Caenorhabditis elegans: one gene and its partner. The protein of the gene in region 1 interacts with the protein of each later gene in a pairwise test. Each region holds a gene or a part of one and is shown on either strand. Other genes may lie near its edges.

Region 1 (4,816 bases):
ATTTCGGGTGACACGTGTGCTCTATTCCAATAATTGTTGGTCAGAATACGGTAGTTTTTGCACTTTCAGCCGAGAATATCGATATTCATACCATCAATTTGGATAGAAACTCACATGTCCCAAAAATTCATTAGTTTTCCGAGTTAAAATTTGCCAAAGCTAATAAAAAAAAATTGATTTTTTTGGGTCTGCTAGACTACGAACTACAACTTTCGATTTAGCAGACCCAAGTGAATTGGAAGAAATTGGGTCTGCTTGACTACAAACTACAAACTCGATTTAGCAGACCCAAGTAGTTTCTACAGAGAATGGGTCTGCTAGACTACAAACTACACATTTCGATTTAGCAGACCCAAGTTGTTTTGAAGAGCTTGGGTCTGCAAGACTACAAACTACACATTTCGATTTAGCAGACCCAAGTGATTTGGAAGAGAATGGGTCTGCTAGACTACAAACTACAAGTTTTGATTTAGCAGACCCAAAAAATCTTACTTTTTAACTCAAAATTGCGATTTTTGTTCGTTTTCTACGAAATAAAATGTGAATTCGCCTAAAAATTTTAAATATTCCAGGTTGGAAGCACTTAAATTTGAATTTCAGCGTTTTCATAGTTTGCCATTGTTTTCCATCTATTTTAAAAGTAAAACTGTTGGAAAAAACCGGAAAAAAGTGAATTTTGTCTATTTTCAACGTAAAATGCTCCAAAAAAGCACCTTGAACGGCATCTTCGTCATCGGAATCACTCTCTTCCATATCCATTTCCTGCATTTCAGCCGCCGCCTTTTGCATTTCATTTCTCGCTTCCAAAAGAATACGGGCTCCAACGTCCTTTGGTGTGCATAGTGGTGGAAGCTGAGAAGTATCTCCTGGCTGGAAATCTACAGTCTGAACAACTACAAAGTCATGCCAATCGATTGATGCATAGGCTTGACGCTCTTTCTCGGCTTCTGCCTCCTCGCGATCTTTTAGACCTTTTTGATGTTTTTCCCAGGATACACGATAATTGATATCTTCTATGAGACGTTTTTTGTTGGTAGCATCGTCTTGGAGTTGGGCAACTACGTTGGTAGAGGGCACCAGAACCTGAAAACTGATATTTTAGCAACTTTTAGCTTAAAAATTTCAAATAAAAGTTATAAAGCTCACTTTTCCGCCATCTTTAAACTGAAAATAGTGAAAAAGTTATCAAAATGTTTTTTTTTTGAGTTTTCTACCGAAAAAGCTGGATTTTTTTTGAGTTTTCAACCGAAAAATCTAGATTTTTTTAAAAATTCTTAGAAATACGCAGATTTTCTTGATTTTTACCTTCTGATATTGATCAACGAGCTTTGTGAAGTATGTAAAGTTGCAATGAGCCGGTTTCAAAAAGTCGAATTGATAATTTCTGGCTTCTCGTGTCATCAATTGAGTCAGAAATTGACGGCCATTTCGTGCAACGAACAGAGCAACGAGTCGGATCAAATCTCTGCAATTTATAAGGTTTTCACTTCATTTTAGGTTAAAAATAGCTTTTTCATCTAATTTTAGTTCTAGAAGTTCTAAAAAACTTACAAATCATAGGCGTTAATCGTGGATGGATCCGCTGAGAACTCGTAGGCCGGCGGTGGAGCTGAAGGCACAAATTCAGCCTTTTTCACGTGCTCTTTCACTGCTTGCGGTACTTTCGGAGCCTCAACTCGGCCTTCTGAGAAATCGTAGACCATCTTTTTGTAGTAGGCATGGTATGGGTCTGTGATGGAGAGAAAGTTGAATTTCGGGTTTTTCGCCTCCTTTTCGCGGATTTTATTCTCAAAGTCCACTCCATTTTTTGCAGCGAAACGGGCGGTTTTGTCGACGATTGCTGAAAATTGAAAATGTATTGCTTATTTTTGGAAAATATCGATTTGCCCTAGTTTTTGCGGAATTCCGCGTGAAATCTTTCCAAAACCATGCAGAACTGTTTTATTTTTGGTTTAAACTATAAAACTTACTGCGAATATCCGGCGGCGGGTAGATTAATCCAATAATCGCACGCCCTGACAACGAGGGCTCGTTGTTCATCGAGTCCTCCTCGCGGTTTGAGACAACTGCAGTCATTTTCTGCAAATTTATAAGATAAATAATTTGAAAATTCGTAAATTTCGCAAAAAATTCAGGAAAATTAATAATTTAATTAAAAATAGAGAAATAAAGCAATAAACTGAAAAATAAACGTTTTCGAATATTAAGTGGAGGTTACTAGGCCACTACAGAACTCGACCATGACCAAATTCAAATTTTCCCGGTAGGTTTTTATCTATTCTTTATTGTTTTCGACATAGTTTTTACTGCTGTTACGTTAAAAATGTTTTATATTGTGTAAAAACATAACAATCTGTAAAAAATTTACAGTTTTCTCTATACAAATGAATGCTAAAAAGTGATGGCCTAACTTTTTCCACTGTATTTCTTTCTTCGCTCCACTGAGAAAAATAATTTATTTAGCGCAATTTCTTAACGAATTTCTTCGATTTCCAGTTCAATTTCAACGATTTCCCTTGTTATAACTTTCAAAATAATTAAAACTCAAACGGTTTCAGGTAACAAAATGACTGAAAGTCCACAAATCTCGGTCAGCTTCGTGTCAGAGGACGAAAACGAGCTCGGAGGATCGGGAATCCTTGTTCCAGTGGACATCTCCACGAATGAGCTGCAAATTTTGTGTAATCAGCTTCTCGGGAGCAGGTTTTGTTTGAATAATGAATTTTCTGTATCTCATCCTGAGTTTTCAGTGACGATCCTGTGCCGATTTCCTTCTTCACCACAGAAGGCGCTGAAATTGTCGATTCCATTCGAAAATCGTTAGAGGAAATTGATTTTGAGACTGTAAGCCCTTGAAAGAAGATAGAAAACTTTTTAAAAAATTTAAAATTTCAGACATTAAAGCTTGTTTATCAGCCACAAGCAGTGTTCCGTGTGAGACCAGTTACCAGATGCTCCGCTAGCATTCCAGGTAATTTTTTGATCGTTTTGACGCATTTAAATATATTTTTCAGGTCACGGAGAGCCAGTAATCTCTGCTCAGTTCAGCCCTGACGGACGTGGTCTAGCGTCGGGCTCCGGCGATCAAACAATGCGAATCTGGGATATTGAGCTCGAGTTGCCTCTCCACACGTGTAAATCCCATAAAAGTTGGGTTCTCTGCATCGCCTGGTCACCGGATGCTACGAAAATCGCTTCGGCTTGCAAAAACGGAGAAATTTGCATTTGGAACGCGAAAACCGGAGAGCAAATCGGAAAAACGCTCAAAAGGCACAAGCAATGGATCACGAGGTGCAGGAAAATCGCATTTATCACTGAAATGTCTTGAAAATTTGGGTTTTCTACAAAAAATCGCCGTAAAATTGTATTTATCACTACAATGTTCTCTTAAAATTTCCATTAAAACCCCACTGAAACGATGTATTTTTACTGAAACCCTTTTGAAAATCACTATTATTTGGGTTTGCTAAATCGAAATTTCTAGTTTGTAGTCTAGCAGACCCAATCACTTCAAAATCACTTGGGTCTGCTAAATCGAAAGTTGTAGTTTGTAGTCTAGCAGACCCAAACTTCTTCAAAACCACTTGGGTCTGCTAAATCGAAATTTGTAATTTGTAGTCTAGCAGACCCATTTCGAATTCCAATAATTTGGGTATTTTAAATCGAATTTTTAATATTTTCTATGAGTTTACTTATCATCCATAGTGGAAAAATGTGATTTTTAACAGAAAGCTTCAGAAAACCCGAGTTTTTCTCTCAAATATTAGCCAAAAATTAATTTTTCAACATAAAAACTAAACATTTCCATTTCAAATCGAATTTTTATAATAAAATTTTTGCAGTTTGGCATGGCAACCGATGCACAAAGACCCGACGTGCAGGCTTCTGGCTTCTTGTGGAAAAGACGGAAATATTTTCATTTGGGATACCGTACAGGGTACTGTAGTTCGCTGTTTGAGTGGACACACTGCTTCGGTCACCTGTCTGCGTTGGGGAGGCGAAGGACTTATTTATTCCGGATCTCAGGTAACTTTTTGCAGGAAAAGTTGTGAAAAATCTTGAAAATATTTTTTAAAAACGTTGAAAATTCAACGACGGGGATGTCACTTTGAAATGCGCAAACTGATTTTAAACACCGAATGATCACAAACGAATCCGAATTAACTTAAACTCGCGCATATTTAAAAAATAGTTCGAAAACCATGAAAATCGCATAAAACCTACCGTAATCAATTTATTCTCCTAATTTCGAATTTTTTTAAAACATAAATTTCAAGCCAGACTCCTTCACAATAAAAAAAATTTTCAGGACCGAACCGTAAAAATGTGGAGAGCCGACGATGGAGTAATGTGCCGAAACATGACCGGACACGCTCACTGGATTAACACTTTGGCACTGAATACAGATTATGCGTTGAGAACCTCGTGCTTCGAGCCCAGCAAGCGTTGTATTAAGCCGGATACTGTGGAGGAGGTAGAAAATTGGATTAAAATCTGAAAATTTGGAGTTTTCCGTTTTTTTTCCATTAAAAACCTTTAATTTTAAAATTTCTAGAACTTTTCTACTGGAAACATCAATTTCCTACTCTAAAAACAAGAAAAATTGTAATTTTTTATATTTTGGAGGTTTTCTTCTTTTTTTCTCTGGACAATTTCTGTTTCCTACTTGAAAGTCTGAAAATTTGAAATTTCATTTCGATTTTGACTAGTCTACATCTTTAGGTTTTCATGCGGCAAAGTTCCAAATAACAAATTTCGCTAAACTGTATTTATGCATAGAAACCTAAAAATTTTAATTTCCTATTCAGAATATGCC
Region 2 (4,816 bases), on another chromosome or scaffold:
AAATTGAATTAGCAGCGCCCAAAATTTTGTAGTTTGTAGTCTTAGCAGCGCCCAAAATTTTGTAGTTTGTAGTCTTAGCAGCGCCCAAAATTGAATTAGCAGCGCCCAAAATCCTGTAGTTTGTAGTCTTAGCAGCGCCCAAAATCTTGTAGTTTGTAGTCTTAGCAGCGCCCAAAATTGAATTAGCAGCGCCCAAAATTTTGTAGTTTGTAGTCTAAGCAGCGCCCAAAATTGAATTAGCAGCGCCTAAAATCTTGTAGTTTGTAGTCTTAGCAGCGCCCAAAATTTTGTAGTTTGTAGTCTTAGCAGCGCCCAAAATTGAATTAGCAGCGCCCAAAATCCTGTAGTTTGTAGTCTTAGCAGCGCCCAAAATCTTGTAGTTTGTAGTCTTAGCAGCGCCCAAAATTGAATTAGCAGCGCCCAAAATCTTGTAGTTTGTAGTCTTAGCAGCGCCCAAAATTGAATTAGCAGCGCCCAAAATTTTGTAGTTTGTAGTCTTAGCAGCGCCCAAAATTTTGTAGTTTGTAGTCTTAGCAGCGCCCAAAATTGAATTAGCAGCGCCCAAAATCCTGTAGTTTGTAGTCTTAGCAGCGCCCAAAATCTTGTAGTTTGTAGTCTTAGCAGCGCCTAAAATTTTGTAGTTTGTAGTCTTAGCAGCGCCCAAAATCTTGTAGTTTGTAGTCTTAGCAGCGCCCAAAATCTTGTAGTTTGTAGTCTAAGCAGCGCCCAAAATCTTGTAGTTTGTAGTGTTAGCAGCGTCCAAAATTTCGTAGTTTGTAGCTTTAGCAGCGCCCAAAATTTAATTAGCAGCGCCCAAAATCTTGTAGTTTGTAGTCTAAGCAGCGCCCAAAATCTTGTAGTTTGTAGTCTAAGCAGCGCCCAAAATCTTGTAGTTTGTAGTGTTAGCAGCGTCCAAAATTTTGTAGTTTGTAGCTTTAGCAGCGCCCAAAATCTTGTAGTTTGTAGTGTTAGCAGCGTCCAAAATTTTGTAGTTTGTAGTCTTAGCAGCGCCCAAAATCTTGTAGTTTGTAGTCTTAGCAGCGCCCAAAATTGAATTAGCAGCGCCCAAAATCTTGTAGTTTGTAGTCTTAGCAGCGCCCAAAATTGAATTAGCAGCGCCCAAAATTTTGTAGTTTGTAGTCTTAGCAGCGCCCAAAATTTTGTAGTTTGTAGTCTTAGCAGCGCCCAAAATTGAATTAGCAGCGCCCAAAATCCTGTAGTTTGTAGTCTTAGCAGCGCCCAAAATCTTGTAGTTTGTAGTCTTAGCAGCGCCTAAAATTTTGTAGTTTGTAGTCTTAGCAGCGCCCAAAATCTTGTAGTTTGTAGTCTTAGCAGCGCCCAAAATCTTGTAGTTTGTAGTCTAAGCAGCGCCCAAAATCTTGTAGTTTGTAGTGTTAGCAGCGTCCAAAATTTCGTAGTTTGTAGCTTTAGCAGCGCCCAAAATTGAATTAGCAGCGCCCAAAATCTTGTAGTTTGTAGTCTAAGCAGCGCCCAAAATCTTGTAGTTTGTAGTCTAAGCAGCGCCCAAAATCTTGTAGTTTGTAGTGTTAGCAGCGTCCAAAATTTTGTAGTTTGTAGCTTTAGCAGCGCCCAAAATCTTGTAGTTTGTAGTCTTAGCAGCGCCCAAAATCTTGTAGTTTGTAGTGTTAGCAGCGCCTTTTTTTTCGATTTTCTGTCATTTTTTGCTCAAATTGAATCATTTTTTTCGATTTTTTTTTGCAATTCTGTAGTTTTAGTGTCATTTTTCTTCAAATTTTCTCTAAAACCTTGTAGTTTGTAGTCAAACGTCACCTTTAACTTGAAATTCAGCAGCACAATAATTACAGGCGGCTCGTTGGCTTTCAGCCACCCACGTAATGTGCTCCCACACAATAGACCGGCCTTTTGACGACGGAAACCACGCCGGCTTCGTTTCCAACGGAATTTCCGATAAATCTACGGGGTTTTCAGGATTTTCAGCTAAATTTTCAGATTCTGGTGCTCCTGGAGCAATTATGTAGTTAAATTCGTCGGGTTCTAGCTTGATGTCTTTTTGAGTGGATTCCATTTCTGAAAGTTTGAATATTTTTCAAGAAAAAAAAAGGTTTTGAGTGGAAAAATCGATTTTTTGCGGGATATGTATTTATTTTTTACATTTTCCTAAAAAAAATAAAAAATAAAATCATATTTTTCGACATTTTTTACAAAAAAAATCAAGGAAACCGTTGAAAATCAGTTTAAAAACTCAAAAATCGATATGCAAAACAAAAAAGTGGGTTACTGTAGGTTTAACGGCGCATCACTCAAAATTTTGCTGGAGTCTTGGAAAATATTTGTATTTTAGCGATTTTCAATGATTTTTCATCATTTTTATGCCAAAAAATTGAGAAAAAAGCGTAAAAAGCAACGAAAATTTTTTAAAAAAGCCCAAAAATCATCTTTTGCAGAAAAGAAAACCTATTTTGCGGTGGTTTTAAAAGCGCATAGGCTAAAAATTTTGCAGAAAAAACTTGGAAAAATGTTAAAATGTGCTGAAATTGAATAAATTTTCATTTTTAAAAAATTTTACCGAAAAATTTGCGAAAAAACAATAAAAACCAACAAAAAATCGCAAAATTGGGTTACGGTCGGTTTAAAGGCGCATAACTCGAATAATTTTAGGAAAATTGTGAATTTTCGGGATTTTTTTACTTTTTACCGTTAAAAGTCAAGAAAAAACAATAAAAATCGGCGATTTTTTGCAAAAAGAAAAGAGTTACTGTAGGTTTAAAGGCGCATAACTCGAAAAATTTGAGAAAAAGCGATTTTTTTTTGTTTTTTTTTCTTCGCATTTTCTTATTAATTTTTAATATTATTACTATTCCAACCTTATTATACATTTGCACAAAAATTATTCCAAAACCTCTAAAATTGGTAAAAACGGCAAAAAAAAGGTATAAGCAAGAGGCGAAAAAGGCGGGAAGAATGAAGGATTAGCCGAGGCCTTTGGGCAGGAGACACCCCCCAACGAGATAGCACACAAACATAAGAGACCGCAGACGGCCCAATCAATTCGGGCCCGAGACAGCCTCCCCGCCTCACGCGGCCTTCCTAGAGACAATGGGGAAGCCGGAGGGTGTTAGACGGGTAGACGGGCTGAGTGTGTGGGGGGGGGGGGGTACATAGTTGTTGTCTTCATGGCCTCGAGAGGAGTGTCACACATCTGCCTCGATAGCTCAGTTGGGAGAGCGCACGACTGAAGATCGTGAGGTCACCAGTTCGATCCTGGTTCGGGGCAATTCTTTTTTGTTTTTTTTTAAAATTAAAATTCAACTATACGCCTTTAAACATACCGTATTCCTGTATTCCTTTAATATTTGGCAAAAGTCGTTTTTCTCAAATTCTACTGGAAAAGCCAATCAAGCGGGCTGAAATAAACATTTTGCAACATTTTTTGCCAGCTATGCGCCTTCAAACCTACCGTAACCTTTTATTTTTGCAAAAAAATCAATTTTTCTTGTTTTGGCTCATTTTTACAGTTTTGTTCTGGATTTTTCACATGAAAAACGATAAATATCAGTGCAAAAAGCATGTTTCTACATTTTAGCCCAAAAAATTGTGCAATGCGCCTTTAAAGCTACCGTAACCTTTCAGTATTTACGAAAAATTGTTTTTTCCTTGTTTTGTGCTTAATTTTCCGGTGTTTCCCTTATATTTCACATGAAAACGTTGAAATGTTTTTCTCAACAACTTTCTCAACTTTTTGCCCAAAAATTTGTGTGATGCGCCTTTAAATCTACTGTAACCTTTTAAATTTTCGAAAAATCGATTTTTTTTCTGTTTTTGGGTTAATTTTTCTGTTTTTTCTTGATTTTTCACTGAAAATTGACAAAAAATTGAAGAAACATACAGAAAAACTAAATTTTTTGCTTTTTAACGCAAAAATTTGTGTGATGCGCCTTTAAACCTACCGTAACCTTTTAATTTAAAAAAAAAATCAATTTTTCTCAGTTTTTGGAGCAAATTTTTTGGTTTTTCCCAGATTTTTCACATGAAAAACTCTAAACCGTAGGGCAAAATCATGTTTCTCCATTTTTAGCCCAAAAAATTGTGCAATGCGCCTTTAAACCTACCGTAACCATTAAATTTTTCGGAAAATCGTTTTTTCTCTGCTGTTGGCTCAATTTTTTGGTTTTCTTTCGTTTTTTCGCAAAAAATGAACAAAAATTTCTAAAAATTGGTTGAAAATGCCAGAAAAACCTGATTTCTCAATTTTTGGCTATATGCGCCTTTAAAGCTTCCGTAACCCAATTTTAAATCGATTTTTTCGCTGAAACATTCGAAATTTCTGTTCAATATTGCCATTTTAGGCTTCTAAACAATAAATTTGTCAAAATGTGAGAGAGCTGGCTCCCCGAGAGACGCAGAGAAACGGAGACGGTCACCATGGTGACAGCTGCCTCAGTTGCACGGCCATTTTGGGATTTTTGAGCCAAAATTTTAGAATTTTGATGTATACTGTAGTTTGTAGTTTGTAGTTTGTAGTTTTTGTAGTTATGATAATATAACATGCTCAATATTTTGATTTTGGAAAAAAGTCCCGAAAAGTTTTGGAAATTTTTTTTTGCACAAAAAATTTCGTGTTTTTTTCGAAATTTTTTTTTTGAAAATTGTTTATTTTTTAACGTCAAATTATGTTTTTTAACAGGAAATGCTCCCAAAAAACGAAAAAGAAGCATTAGTCGATGTTGATGATAGGATTGCAATGTTGGAGAGGCGGCTGGACAACGCGAAGGCCGCGAGGGTAAGGACTAAAACTCTTATATCTTGAAAACCAATAGTGCTATCAAAAAGTTGC

The links.
Region 2: the proteins of prp-21 (region 1) and bed-1 interact in a two-hybrid assay, tested with the Caenorhabditis elegans proteins (one large-scale study listed by BioGRID).

What each region holds. Positions count from the first base shown.
Region 1 is NC_003280.10:482,129-486,944, reverse strand, and holds the start of prp-21 (uncharacterized protein), read right to left. Parts: upstream 2,080-4,816; 5' UTR 2,077-2,079; coding exon 1,971-2,076; intron 1,841-1,970; coding exon 1,552-1,840; intron 1,466-1,551; coding exon 1,306-1,465; intron 1,084-1,305; coding exon 714-1,083; intron 1-713. Other genes in the region: gldi-1 (NLE domain-containing protein), read left to right, coding at 2,567-2,703, 2,751-2,844, 2,896-2,971, 3,015-3,291, 3,843-4,026, 4,310-4,474.
Region 2 is NC_003283.11:19,122,861-19,127,676, forward strand, and holds the start of bed-1 (BED-type domain-containing protein), read right to left. Parts: upstream 2,054-4,816; 5' UTR 2,048-2,053; coding exon 1,792-2,047; intron 1-1,791. Other genes in the region: dyf-17 (Verprolin), read left to right, coding at 4,670-4,762.